Linked DNA regions of Astyanax mexicanus. The protein of the gene in region 1 interacts with the protein of each later gene in a biochemical or structural test. Links are inferred from orthologs where the notes say so. Each region holds a gene or a part of one and is shown in the gene's direction. Other genes may lie near its edges.

Region 1 (7,419 bases):
AGCACTCTTCAGTCTGCAATGAATATACTTTGTATTGCATGAACTTAAACAAAATGTCAAAATTAATTTACTGAACTCAACTGGGTTGAGTTGTCGTTGAGGTGTGAATAAAATACTGGTAATACATGATAACTGAATAGCTTAAGCTATGGGTTAATTGTTTAAATAAATTTGTGATTCCTAGTCTTTTCACAATCATGTCTTTTCTTAGATGTCAATAACTTTGGGATGTCTGTTAAAGTCCACCATCTGCATTCCAGCCAGCTCTAGTAATTGGTTGATGGGTGCTTGATCAAATCGATTCATGTCAAAATGTGCAAAATGAACATCAGAACCTGCAAACATAAGAGAACAGAACAATTATTACAGTTAATACACTATTACATTACGAGAACAATGATAAAGAGTACATCTTGAAGTGCCTTCTTAAATTAGGCACCTGGACCAACAACGATAGCTCCTCCTTGCTGGAGAGGATCTCCTTGGAAATCAAACACAGGGCTGGTCATGGCACGCCACATGCTCTTCAAACTGCCAACAAGCATACTGGATTTGACATGTGGACTCTTGGAGGCTGGGGACACGAACAGGAATTCATCCTTATTACATGCAATGTGCCATAATTACTTAAACCTAGCATTAATTTCTCTTCAACACAGTTATATGAACACAAGCATCAATTTCACTGCAGTGATGTTGGATTGTCAAACAATTATAATATAACAGAAACTCAGTTATAATATTCAATTCTAACACTGTGTTAATGTAAAGACACGACACATTTCATGGGACAGGACCTTGTATCCTGTCCACTGGAAGCTAACAAATGCTGTACTGACTTGCCGATTACGCGTGTGGGCTTTCTGCATTAAATGTGGATGTAATTTCAGAGTCATTTTTCTGTTTACACAGACAATTCTAGCCAGATGCTGCCGGTCATGATCATTACAACCCACTGCACTGTCCACTATAGGTGGTAATGCCTCCAATGATGTATTGCTGGTACACACATGACACCGTGAATCAAGAAACTTTAAATGCCTGCACAACTTCAGAAATGTTACGTCCAATTTATCTGGTATTCCCCATCAATCAAACTCCAACTCTGCTCACAAAACAGCATCTCACAACCTATACTGGTATTCTTAAGCAATCCCCTGAGGTAACATTTTATGGCCAGTTTACATACTACTGTCCCATGACTTCTACTCCAACTTGTCCATTAACTGAATTTTAAAAACTTGGTATTTTTCATTATAATCCATTTATGTTGTGAATTTTGCCAAATTTATCTAATTTAATAATGTGATAGAATTGGCACAAATATTAGTCTTAAATAATACCATATTAAAATCTGGATTTACACTGTACATAAACTCAAACTGAAATATCCATTTAAAACTAAATCTGTTTTCTGGGATTATTCCAGTCAATGACAGTTGGCAGGTTTTTACCTGTTTCCATAAACGTCTCTCCTCTTTTCATGCCAAGTTTTTTATAGATTTGTCTTTCTGGATCAACATATATTTCATGCTGATATCCTGTCAGAGAGCAGAATGCCTACAGGACAGGGAATAAATATTGCAGCTTGACATTTCATTATGTACAGCACAAGGTCTGAAATAGATCAAACTGCTCTATAACTGTCTCACCTCTATATGAGAACAAGAGGCCTGGCCAATGACAACCAACCGGACGCCAGCATCCTGCATCAGCAACACAGACAAATTATTCTCATTCAACTGCAAACTCTGCAAATTATCATTACTGATCATTAGTGTTGTATTTGTACTCACCAGTAATGCCTTCTGTGATATCTTGCTTAGATCTTCAACATATTCTTTACATGCGAAGCACAAGAAATTCTGTCAGAAACCCAAAACACAATTTTGGTATGGTTTGATACTGTTGTTTTCATAAAAAAAAAAAAAAAAACACTCACTGATCACAAGCCATCAAACCAAGCTACCAAGCTGAACTGCTTGAATTTTTGCACCAGGATTGGCATAAAGTTATCCAAAAGAAGTGTGTAAGACTGGTGGAGGAGAACATACCGGGGGTTGTCCGTATAGAATAAAACAACAATACTCATTTTAGTCAAACATATAACTATTAATAGCAAAATCAGAGAAACTGATGCAGAAACTGAAGTGGTCTTTTAATTTTTTCCAGAGATGTATGTTTTAATTATACTTTTTTTTTTTGAAAGTCAGAAAATTCTGAATCATCTAGTTCTTGACACATTTTCAGTGGATGATAATATATATGATAATATTTACTGGTGTTGTAGCTCAATATAAAGTACAGCCCCAGAGGAAAGCTTTGTACTCTGTACTTACTATTTTTCCTAGTGTGTGTGTGTGTGTGTGTGTGTGTGTGTGTGTGTGTGTGTGTGTGTGTGAATCAGATGTAAACTGATTAACCACATTAAACTCTCAGTTGTAAATGCATGTGATTAAACTACAAAATACAAAATACAATCCAGAAACTTTGGAACCTGAAGGGACCACAGGTCTAAACAGGGCCCACCAGTTTCTCAGAGCTCTGCTATATAAACATGGTTTTATTAGCTGGTCTAAGTTTAAATACAATTTAAACTTTAAAACAAGTACAAACAGCCTATTCTTCATATTCTAGAACCTATCAAACCAACTTCAGCCAAATTCAGTAGAATTTTAACTTTAAAACATGTAGATAGTTTATTTTTCGTATTAGGAGAAACAGAGGAAACGCTCTCTTACTCTTACAAAAATGATGATAGCTCTGCTGCTCTGGAATAAACTCCTAAAAGGAGCCGGAGCTCCGTGCCGGTCATATATCAGACAGTCCTCCGCCTCGCTGACACTGAGCTGGGCCGCGGCTCGGCTGCTCTGCGGGGCTGAACTGGAGATCTGCTGGGTTATTGGGAAAACGGCAGCCATTGCTCCGCTGCTGTGTGTGCAGTGTGTTTTTCCGGAGGGTAAACCGCCAGGCCCGGGCTATTTTTGGCGTTTTCTTGACGGATGAAGGGACTCAGCACGCCCAGCCCTGCTGAGGCTTGTGCTGAACAGAGCTTTCAGTTCTGAGACCTGCAGAAAGTTCTCCTCCTCCACATAAAGGGCATGTAATAAAATATCACGGTTAGATTGCATTCAGACACTCTAGACCGAGTTTCAGATTATCTCTATTTATTACAGCAAGCGCGATAACAAAAAAAAACGTTACTTATGTGTTTCTGATGATTAAACTAGTTATTATAGAGTTGTGATGTGTGTTACAGTTATTCACCGCTCACAGTTCAGAGACTCCACTATCAGGACTGTAGCGCCCTTACTGGCCAATCCGAGAACACTACACAGTGACGCGAAGCCCAGCCAATCACAACCAGCGAGGGGTTGTTTGATTCATTGTACAGAACCGACTCTTTCGAATGAACTGATTCAATTAACCGAATTCTCACAAATCAACTGAGAATGCCTGACCAACTGACACACAATCGCCCTTAACATTGAAATGTGGTTAAAATGTTGAAACAGCGTTGAAACAACTTTAATATTAAATGGTTGAACAAACGCTGAAGTTTGTTCTGTCTTTTGAATTAGCATTTTACATTTTATCACCATACAATTTCAAATAACAGATCTTTTTACTTCAATTTGCTGTAATTGCTTTTTAATTTGGCACCAATTCTTCACCATGCCTGGGGGTATGGTCATATTCTTCTTGTTTTACTGTTGTGTTTTTAAGATCAAATGTCCAAACAGATTGGTAATAGTGGGTAATGTTCAGCTTTGAGTACCTTGCTACGTTTTTTTTTAGTATTTATTTGCTTTAATATTCTCTAATATTATTGTTTTTAGATTTAAATTAATTTGTATTATCTTGTAATTTTGTTTATTTAGATAATATTACTTATTTATTTACATTACATAAAGTAACTGTTTACACTCTAAAACCTGAACCAAATGGGTTAAATGTAAGTGGATGGAGCTTAATGGTTAGTCTCGCAAATGAATTTGGTTTACACTAAATTAATTTGCATTTAACACTCGCGGTTAAATGTGAACATAATGGTGCAAATTGGAAATTAAATAGATTTACGCTGAATCAGCATAAAATAACCACAAAACGAGCAGCAGTTGAATGAGTCATTCAGTTGAATCGACTCGAACGACTTGTTGATTCATAATTTGTAATTTGGTAGAATTGTCTTTAACAAAGCGGTTAAATGTGTTAAAATGTGAGGAGCATAACGATGCAAATTGGAAATAAATTTGTTTCAACAAAAAATAACAATAAAACGAACAGCAGTTAAATGAGTCATTCAGTTGAATCGACTCAAACGACTTGTTGAAAAGAGCCGGTTTAAAAAATGATTCACGCGAACGGCACGGGGCGGGACTTCCTTTATAGTAGCAGAGATTCCCGGATGTGTTTTCAAACTGTAAAGAGACTGAAGTAGCTAAGCAAGTTGCCTCTGCCTGCAGGCTGGTTTATGGCTCCGGCTCGGCTCTCTGCCTCCCAGCACTAACCTGCTTCTGCCCGGATTATGAGAGCGCGGGACAGGGGCGGGTCACGCCGCGCGGACTGCTGGTGAGGAGACCCCGCTGGTTTTGCGGACAGGATTCCAGGATTGCAGGAGTCGGGGATGTTGATTAGCACACTTAGCTAGCTAACCTAGCAGCTCCCCCGCTATCATAGCAACGAGACAGCGCTTCAGGGATGTTCCCCAGTCTTAGCTAAAACAACAACAACACGAGCAACAGCAGTAACACCGCCATGGAGCAAAAACTCCAACCTGTTGATAAACACTGGGCTAGACTTACAGACCACCCAGGGCTTTACTTAGCTAGTTAAGGTTAGCTGTCCAGGTTTCCCCCAGTGTATAGTCTTTTAATTAAAGGAATTTATCTAACCTAGCTGTTAGGTTAGTAAGGTTAACCTAGCATAGCAGGGGTTGAGCTTCTCTGAACTCTTAGTTAGTTAGTTATTTAACTTAGTTACAATTGTTGACAGCCAACAGTCCAGGGCTAAAAAATATTGTGATATTAAACATGTACAGCTCTGGAAAAATTAAGAGACCACTTCAGTTTCTGAATCAATTGATCTGATTTTGCTATTTAAAGGTAAATGTTTGAGTAAAATGAACATTGTTGTTTTATTCTATAAACTATGGAAAACATTTCTTCCAAACACCAAATAAAAATATTGTCATTTAGAGCATTTATTTGCAGAGACTGAGAATAACTGAAATGGCTAAAATAACAAAATAGATGCAGAGCTTTCAGACCTTAAATAATGCAAAGAAAAAAAGTTCATGTTTTAGTTTTCCGAACAATTCAGATGCTTGTTAAAGCAATTCATTCAAGTATCACAGCATATTCCCCAATGACGCCTCCCTGAGTCTGACCAAAGCTTCACAAACTATGTGATCTAGCCAGAAGTAAAGTTGTTAGCTTCAGGGAAGATCGCTGTAATTTAGGCCTCACCGTTTGTTATTGTTATGGTGGTGATGTAAAAGAATGGTGTGCTTCCCTGTATAGTTGTGTGAGTCAGATAACTTCATGGTTATCTGGTTGTTTATGTGTCTGACAGGCTATTTTAGTGCAACTTTAATTATTGTGTCCAGATACATCAGAACCTAGGAGATGTTATGGGTAGTTGTATTTGAAGATAATTGATTAGTAATATAAAGCCAGGGGCCAACTGCATGCTTCAGAAATGGCTGGAGTATTTTGCTTGTACTGTCCCTCACATCTCACTTCATGCATTGTCCACTGAAAATAGAATCCAACTCGATTAGAACAGTTGCTACATAAGCGAGAGAATCCAGAGGTCAGCTTGAAGGATTGCGATAGTTGTTTGAATGGTAAAATCCATTCCATAAAATCATAGGATTATAAAGTCTCATAATGTGGCAGCCAATTAATCTGTGACAGTGAAGCTGTTTGGGTGGAATGGTTGTTGGTGGTTTTTAATCATGTTTAACTTGCAGCACTGGGGTATTGGGTTCAATTCCCTTTATGAGTTAAGTTTCAGTGTTTTCCTCTTGTTGCCTCCTACAGTACAAAAACATGGTGAACGGGTGGGTTGATTGCTCTCAGTAAATCTTGAATTGGTGAATCTAAATTGCCCTGGTTTGTGTGTACGAGTGTGTATTTGTGTGAACTTGTGTCTGTATAAGGTTTGGCATTCCATTCTGGGTCTGTGCCCTTAGTGCTTGATGCAGTCCTGGTTGAGAGTTGTTTCAGGTTTCATTAGTTGATTGCCACTTCTCTTTTGCCACTTGATTGAGTGTCGAGTGTAAAGGCTTGTGTAGAGGGTTGATTGTAAAGCGTCCTTGGGCTCTAGAGAGGCAATATATAAGCATAACTACTGTATTCATTCATGCTTTTGCTTTTGCTTCTTGTCACCAGAGTCACCGTGAGTCATCTATATGGGCCATCTTCTCTCGAAAAATGGTTACTGCCTGAAGAAGAAAACTCGGAAGCTGCGCAAGAAGAAGAAGAGGAGGAACTGCTTCCTACGGGGCCCCTGCATGCTCTGCTTCATCGTCCGCAGCACCAGTGAAAGTCTTGAGGACGAGTGCCCCTACGAGAGCACCGGTGGTGCGGCTGTGGCTGCCTCCAAGCTTGCTGAACGGTACGTGTCGTTAAGCACGCCTGAGGACTGTGCCAGGTTCCTGCTGTCTCCAGGGGAGTTGGCCGTTGGCTGGGAGGGCCAGGGCCGGAGGAGCTTGCTGTCCGCCGTGCCGGCCAAGCTGATCGGAGCCCCTCCGTTGTTCCGCTGCTCCACGGAATACTCCGAGATGGTCTGCAAGCGCAAGAGTGGCGAGCCACGCCGATGCACGGCTCCCTGCAAGCAGCCGCGTTGTGCTTTTCACGAGGCTGCTCAGGACGAGGAGGCGGCAGAGGAGACGAATACCCCTCCCTCAGCCGGCCAACGCCTGCTGCCCCAACTCTGCCCACTTCCATCCTCTTCCTCCTCATCTGCCTCATCCTCAGAGGAAGAGAGCTCGGGCGTGGGCCTGCAGGCAACAGACTCGGGTGAAAGTCCCAGCAGTAGTGCTGCCACTCCAGAAAGCTCCTCCTTCTCCTGCCCACTTTCTAACAGCGACGGGTCAGAGGATGGCAAGAACTCGGAGAGCACAGATACGTCCCGCATTAACCACCTGCCATCCTCCATACTGCTCAAGGTATGTGCACTGATTGGTATAGGGGGCATGCTCTCTGTTCAACATGGTGCTATTGGTCAGATATACTGGTAATGCCTGTTAAAGGAAAAGCAACAAAAATGAATGTATATTGCCTTGAAAGTTCCCATTATGTCCATAATGAGTTTGTGTAAAGATAAAAATGTATCCAATATGATTTAAAACAACATAAGTTTTGTGTTTAAACAACTGTGAAAAGAAGCTAATCTGTGTCAAATTAAAACAAA
Region 2 (7,041 bases), on another chromosome or scaffold:
TATTGAAGCAGGAGCATTTTTCCAAAGAGGAGAATTATATAGAACATTTATACTGGCAAACTAGGAAGAGTTTGTCTCACAGGTAAGTATCAATTTCTTAAAATAGCCCTGATTTAAAGACAAATAATTGTTAAATAAACAATTAATTTTGGTATTTTGTGTAAGTAAAGGTTAAGAGTAAAACATAATTATTTTATAGAATGTTTTAAAACTTTGATATGTACCTTTATTTAAACTGGTATCATCAGTAAAACCGGCAGCATTTGATCATTTGTAAGTAAGGAGTGATATGGCCTGCTGTGTGTGATCATCCAGTCTCATAGTAGATAATGGATCTTGTTTGGACTTCCATGGGGGTTTCCAGCAGTACACTTTAAAGGCAGTTCAACTGGTTCAGTTCCATTTAACGGAAAGAAAGAATTTCCTGAAACTCTTCAGGTGTGGCTTGAATTCGGCTGAGGACATGAAGTGCATTGTACCTGTGTCAAGAATTCAGTAATGATCAAACATTAAACAAACACCTGATTGAGATAGCATTGAGAAAATAGACGTCATGTCACTTGTTTTGTCAGTGGAATTTCATAGGACGATGAAGTATCTGTTGCGGGATAAACACACTTGAAATCGTAAAACTGTTGAGCTACTGCTGTGTCAGATTTCATCTGTGAAAATGTGATTTCAGTGATGACTCTCTGAAACTCTTCCATAAAAGAGAACTTCCCTCCCTAAGATCTTTGCTTAGTTTAAAAATATATATAATGAAGAAAAAAAGCATTAATCTTCTGTTTGTTTTGTAATATAAAAACCATAGGAACAAAATGTTTCATTAGTTTCATAAATGTTTTCTATTAAATATCAAACATCCTTATGATGTACAGTTTTATAACATTGTTACATTGTTTGGATACTAAGTGATTATGTTCCCTTTCAAAGTTATGAGACTAGTTTCTTCTAGACCTCTAGTTTGTCTCCGGTTCCTCTGAGCACTTGGCCCTGAGAACTGAATTCCATAGATGGTGGTCAGGAGGAGCTCATCTATGGGCTCAGTTCTTCTGGCAGAGTGTTCCATATCTCCATAAACCTGGCCGAACTCTCTACAAGATGGACTTTCATAGGATTTGTATCACGAAAAAAGATGCTTGAGAAGATCCCATTTTTCATACAGGAGAAATGCTATGTATTTTTGAGACAACCTTTGTATGAAACATGTCTTATAAAATGCTTGTAAATATGAAATTAATACATTTTACAAAGTTAAAGTTGTTCATTTCTGTTTGGTTCATTTCTTTACACAAGCTTTTACAGACACTGCACTAATGTGAGATACACACTTTGCATTTATGAGTGGGACTATGAGTGGGTGTGCTAGTCAAATGGTCTTAGAAATCCACGCAAATTATATTTTTTAACTTCCTTGTCTTACATCACACCTCTTAGTCAGTCACTCTGTCCTAATTTAAAGAGAAGGCACCTAAATAACTTTAACACAGTGAGCCACATGGCGTCATTACTCTTATACGAAGGCATGATCTTTAGATGCTTGATGAGTGGCATCACATAGACATACATTGTTGACACAAAGTCCATGTATGTATACACATATGCTGATGCACAATAATGAAATGTGAGCTAAAGTATGCAAACGTTACATGTCCGCCCACACATTGACCACAAATATGTCTTATCTCTTGCTCCTGGTAAATGACTCAGGATCATTCCATGGAAACTGGAAGTCATGGACACCATACCAAGAACGCTCACCGCCCACAGCTGTTGCTTACAATCTGTTAAGTCATCCTAGATAAAATACTGTATAACAAATTGTGAAATAGGTAAATTTTTACATTACGTTTAGCACTAAAACATACAAATGTGGAGGTTTGACTTCAATGAAAAACATACTATTGACATCCTGTAAAAACTACAGTACACTCTTTTTTAAAAACAAAGGTGCTACAAAGGATTAGTCAAGATGTCAAAAAAAACACCTTTGTTTTTATACAGAACCGTATTTGTAAAAGATCTGGAAGTGTCAGGAACGTATACATCAAATAAAGATTCTTTAAATTTAAAATGGCTTTCAACATAGCACAAATCTCTATTACAAAAATAATTCTTTATGAATCTAACAGTGATTCTTCCATTACAACAACCAAATAACCATTTTTAGTATCGTCATGAATAATTTTAAAGTGTTTCACAGTATATTTATTATAAATTAGCTTGCATTTAATCAAAATATTTATTTTAACACCAAAGAATTTTGTACCGTTTCATTTTAGATTCCATTTACTTTCAAGGTTTTCCAAGGAAAAACAGCAAGGCCAATTGTAAACACAAGTTCATAGAGTTCAACATTAATGATGCAACAAACTTGGCCACAAATCACTATTAGCTATTAGCTATTTCAATGAAACTTTAAAAAAGCTAAATATTTCACATGATAACAAACTACATAAAGTCAGCAAATAAAAATTCTGGCTTTATTTTCTTCTTTTCCTTCTTGACAATTTCCCTAACACTTTCCACTCCATTTTGTGGGCTCTCAACATTATGAACCAACACCCCCTGAAGCTCACAACAATGCTGGGATAAGTACCATACACCTGCAGCAAGCATACTTTCACAAAGTCTGGAAGCTCCCAGCTGATCCTAAACACTCTCTCCAGCCTCCCCCAGCGTAGCTCACCTTTCACAGTGAAGCCCTCTGGCCATGTTTCTTCCTGAGGCTCAAGAACAGCTACCTTGAGGGGTCCTTTTCACAGACACGTTTGTGAGAGAACCTGTGTATGGATGAGGGTAATACCAGTACAACTGAGTCTCTAAAAAGAGCTGGGGTAGATCCATAGCAATGGTGGAATTACAGGATTTTATCCTGAGGGCCTGTGATGTTCTCCATTAGGATGGTCAGTGCTGGAGGACTGTAAGTGGGAAGAAGGTCCGACTGTTGAGTACCCAAAAACATGGTACATGTACAAGGTAATGGTCCATAAATGGATGGTGGAAGTTTAAAATCGAACTGCTCGCAAATCTAATCTAACCTAGCAAGTTTGGAATACACTGTAAGAGAAATGCACAAAGACTTTAAATAAATTATGTATTAGTAAATTAATGTATGTTTAGTTTTTTATACAATAAGTATTACTTTTGAATAAGAAAGTAAGCCTTATTTAACTAGATATGAATAAAAAAAGTAATTCAGTTATGTTCGTAACAAAAAATAAAAGGATAGGATGCATACAGGCTGGAAAGGCTTGCATAATACGTTTCAAAAACCTTTTCCTAATGATTTTTATTACTTCATAATAAAAATAATACAGAAACCATAAAAGTACAAATGGTACATATTTATATGGAATTTGCAGCCCTGGATTGCCTGTAAAGGAGCTCTGTCACCAGTTAAAAGCTCACAGAGATGTTCTGTATCTAAACAGCAGGTAAACAAACTGTAAGCACGTAGATCTATCTGTTTATCACCTGTATATCCATTCCTTTAGCAGTCATGAGTATTTATCAACAAGAATCCAACCTATGTGTTACTCCATCAATCATACAGCAATAAATACCCAGCCTATCTATGTACATACTCCACACGTTGCATATATATGAACAGTAGGTGGCGCCTCTTTCTCCCACATGTTTTAAACTGTACTGATGTCTAAATGTTGAGTCCAAAGAAAATGTTTAATGTATAGTTAAACTTGGTTGGGGTACATACACAGCTATGAACACACTGCCACAAAATTAGTATGAGTACCTACAGTAAACAAATACATTTGAATATGTATTACTGATACATTAATACATTTACAGACACTGAGTTAGGAGCAACTTTGTATAGTCCTTGCATTATCACGAAATTATGACGTTACTGGACGCTGTGATTATTTTCTGAATATGTTTACTTAGCTATTTACTAAAATAAAAAGTTATTGAAACATCAGAAGGACACCAACTTCCAAATCCGCCTTCCAATCACAGTGCCGTACTTCTCCTCAGCTGATTCTGATTGGACACCACACACGCCAATCAAAGTACGAGGCTCCGCCCCCGCCGACTCCTGAAACCCTGAGGGAAACGGACCGAGTGGGTTTTAAAAGACAATAACGGGTGAGAAAAAACTACTAAATTAGATATTTCGAATGAGAACACATTAATTCGGGTTTTAATATTACTCCGGAGAAAGCTTCAAAGTTTCCCCAGTTCTGTGAAGACAGGCGCATTTGTGACACTGCGAGAGTCGAGATTAAGGATGGATGAAATGCGGCCTAGCAGCGGCGCGCACCTCGGCCTCGCGTCGATCTTTCCCCCAGGGCTGCAGGCCATCTACGGGGAGTGCAGGCGCCACTACCCCGACCAACCAAACCCGCTGCAGGTCACCGCCATCGTAAAATACTGGTAAGCATTTCATAAATGCACGGCTGTTCTCTGGAGAAAAACGTTATTAATCAATTACGAGAACCACAGTTCAGAAGAAAAGTGAAGTAAACTTTGTTTAAAGTTCAATATTTCGATGTAGCAAGCTAAAGTTAGTTGCTACATTCTTAGCTTGCTTAGCAAACTAACTTTAGCTAGGTTAGCTTTCTATGGCTTAACGTTAAATTTTATTTTTCGGGAGGATTTTTTGAAAGTCTGGGATTCCCTGTGAATATATCAAATATTATTAAATGCGCGTTTTGACTTTTGATAACATACAGATAATTTAAATCAGATGCGTAAATGTAAGGAAGCACCCAAAGCATGCAGGGGTGTTTTAACAGAATGAAAAACCACTGTTTTAGTAAGTTTACAACAAGAATATAGAACAAGAATATTGGAGATTGCACTTGGAGGTGCAGTTGCCTTTTATATATATATATATATATATAAAAAACATAAATAATAGGGTATGGTCTGGTGTAGTAACCCAAATTTTGGTGTATTGCTCGAGGGCAACACTTTGTAGGGAAACCTATTTACCCCAGCTAGCTGGCTAAATAAGTTTACTGTGGAATAATTGTTCAGACATTTAGCTTAGCTAGCTAACCTAACTAGTTAACAGATAGTTTAGCTAACTAGCAAGATAGCTGGCTGTATAAAGGTCACTTTAGGAGGTAACAAATAACAAATAAGTAACAAATAAGGTTACAGAAAACTTTTCTTGCACAGGAACTTCTAAAGTTGCTTGGTTATCATGGTAGAAAATAGTGAAAGTTATATACCTTGTAACATTGTTATATGTTTAATTATGGAGTGTTTAAAATTGAGGGAACGGTTTATTTAATTGAGAGTTATGTTATTTTATTGAATTGGGGGAAGGGTTTTTGTGTGTAAATTCATTTTTTTTACCTTGATAGCTAAGCTATCTAACTAACTAGTTGGTTTAGCTATCTTATTTCAGGAGCTTCATATATTCGAAACACATTTCGCTAACTTTAGCTGGCTGGCTACATAACATTACAATCGCAGCAAACGGCTTAGCTGTTCTCTTTCTTCCTCATGGCCGTTTGCTTAGCTTTGTTTGTGTTCCCCTGTTGTGTTGTTTTAACACAGGTTAGGGGGGCCAGATCCCCTGGACTACATTAGCATGTACAGAAACATGGGATGCCCTGCCTTGGACGTACAGGAACATTGGCACTACGTTAGCCTTGGCCTGAGTGATCTGTATGGAGACAACAGAGTTCACGAGTAAGTGTTAGAATAGGAGTACTGCTTTGTTTGGAAATTGAGTTGCCATTTTGCATTTTTTTTCCAAAATGTGTTTTCAGACATGTTTATATATAAATGTATATTTATATTTTTATATTTATCGTTTATTTATTCGTTTTAGGTATTTAAACACTTTTTGTTTTTTACGACCATTTATCACATCATTGTTTTGGGAAAAAAATGTAGATATTAGTCAGATGCAGATAAAAATAATAATTACAATAAGTTTTTTTTAGAAAGTAGTTGATATCATGTGATCTAGTTAAATAACAAAGCTATGTTCCAATTTCTCACACCCCATATGGTTAATTCAGCTCACCTGATTTAACTCCATTAAGCAATTATTTAATGAACCAGATGTTGAAAGGTAACTATTAATAATACTGAATACCAATAAGAAAAAAATTGGAAATGCTGTTAGAAAAACTGTGATGTATTGCCTTTTTACATCATGTTGTTTTGTTTTTGTGTGGTTTTTTTTTTCTTCAAATATTAATTATTTACCTAGTATATAAACACTTACTGCCAAAGTAAGGAGCCTTTTAAATTGAAAGTTCTGTCAATCTCAACTGTTTTCATTTTCATAGATTCACTGGTCAGGAAGGGCCAAGTGGTTTTGGTTTTGAACTAACATTTCGTCTGAAGAGAGAGGCTGGGGAGACTGCACCCCCCACCTGGCCTGCTGAACTTATGCAGGGTTTATCCCGATACGTCTTCCAATCAGGTACTAAGCTTTTTCCTTATCTGAATGGACTTTAAATATATGGGACTCGAGTCATTATAGTATTTTGCAAAGCAATACCAAAATGGTCATACGATTTCAAATGTATTTCATTAAAACAAACAAAAAATTGTATGTAGTGTAAATAGTGAACTATTGTCCTGACAACTCCAAAACAAGACTGGTAGGGTTGTAGTTAGGATTTTCTGCACCTTTCTGTATCATCATGTGTCATAAAAACATGCTGTTGTAGCTGGGAAGTTAGACATAGAATACATTTTATGACCGTCATTTTCACGTTCACACATTTGGCTGTTTGGTATTAAAGTTATAAACAGAAAATATGGTGGGATTGTGTTTTCTAAGATAGACAGACACATTAATGCTCCTAGTCTGTCACATTGTGCCCTAGTTTATTAGCAAACAGTATATTTATCCTTAATGGCAATCTACACAGTATTATATCCATTAGTTTTTGTACCATGATAAGGCAGTGTACGTATTTTATATATTTACTACTATTGAGAATGTTTTCTTTTTAGGATAATGTCTAAATACTATCTAACTTTAAAAAACTATCCCTTTGTGTAACAGAAAACACATTCTGCAGTGGTGATCACATCTCATGGCAC

What was found. The genes of interacting proteins can lie anywhere in the genome.
Region 2: of the proteins of fbxl17 (region 1) and sufu, one has a biochemical effect on the other in vitro, tested with the Homo sapiens proteins (2 studies listed by BioGRID, with this or other methods). The link is inferred for Astyanax mexicanus from reciprocal best matches to the Homo sapiens genes FBXL17 and SUFU.

What each region holds. Positions count from the first base shown.
Region 1 is NC_064419.1:35,401,509-35,408,927, forward strand, and holds the start of fbxl17 (F-box/LRR-repeat protein 17), read left to right. Parts: upstream 1-4,403; 5' UTR 4,404-4,572; intron 4,573-6,395; 5' UTR 6,396-6,415; coding exon 6,416-7,174; intron 7,175-7,419. Other genes in the region: prxl2c (peroxiredoxin-like 2C), read right to left, coding at 208-335, 440-574, 1,455-1,560, 1,653-1,706, 1,797-1,865, 2,742-2,921. UniProt on the Homo sapiens protein: Substrate-recognition component of the SCF(FBXL17) E3 ubiquitin ligase complex, a key component of a quality control pathway required to ensure functional dimerization of BTB domain-containing proteins (dimerization quality control, DQC).
Region 2 is NC_064414.1:23,140,414-23,147,454, forward strand, and holds the start of sufu (suppressor of fused homolog), read left to right. Parts: upstream 1-4,029; 5' UTR 4,030-4,252; coding exon 4,253-4,398; intron 4,399-5,532; coding exon 5,533-5,667; intron 5,668-6,275; coding exon 6,276-6,412; intron 6,413-7,003; coding exon 7,004-7,041. UniProt on the Homo sapiens protein: Negative regulator in the hedgehog/smoothened signaling pathway. Down-regulates GLI1-mediated transactivation of target genes. Down-regulates GLI2-mediated transactivation of target genes. Part of a corepressor complex that acts on DNA-bound GLI1.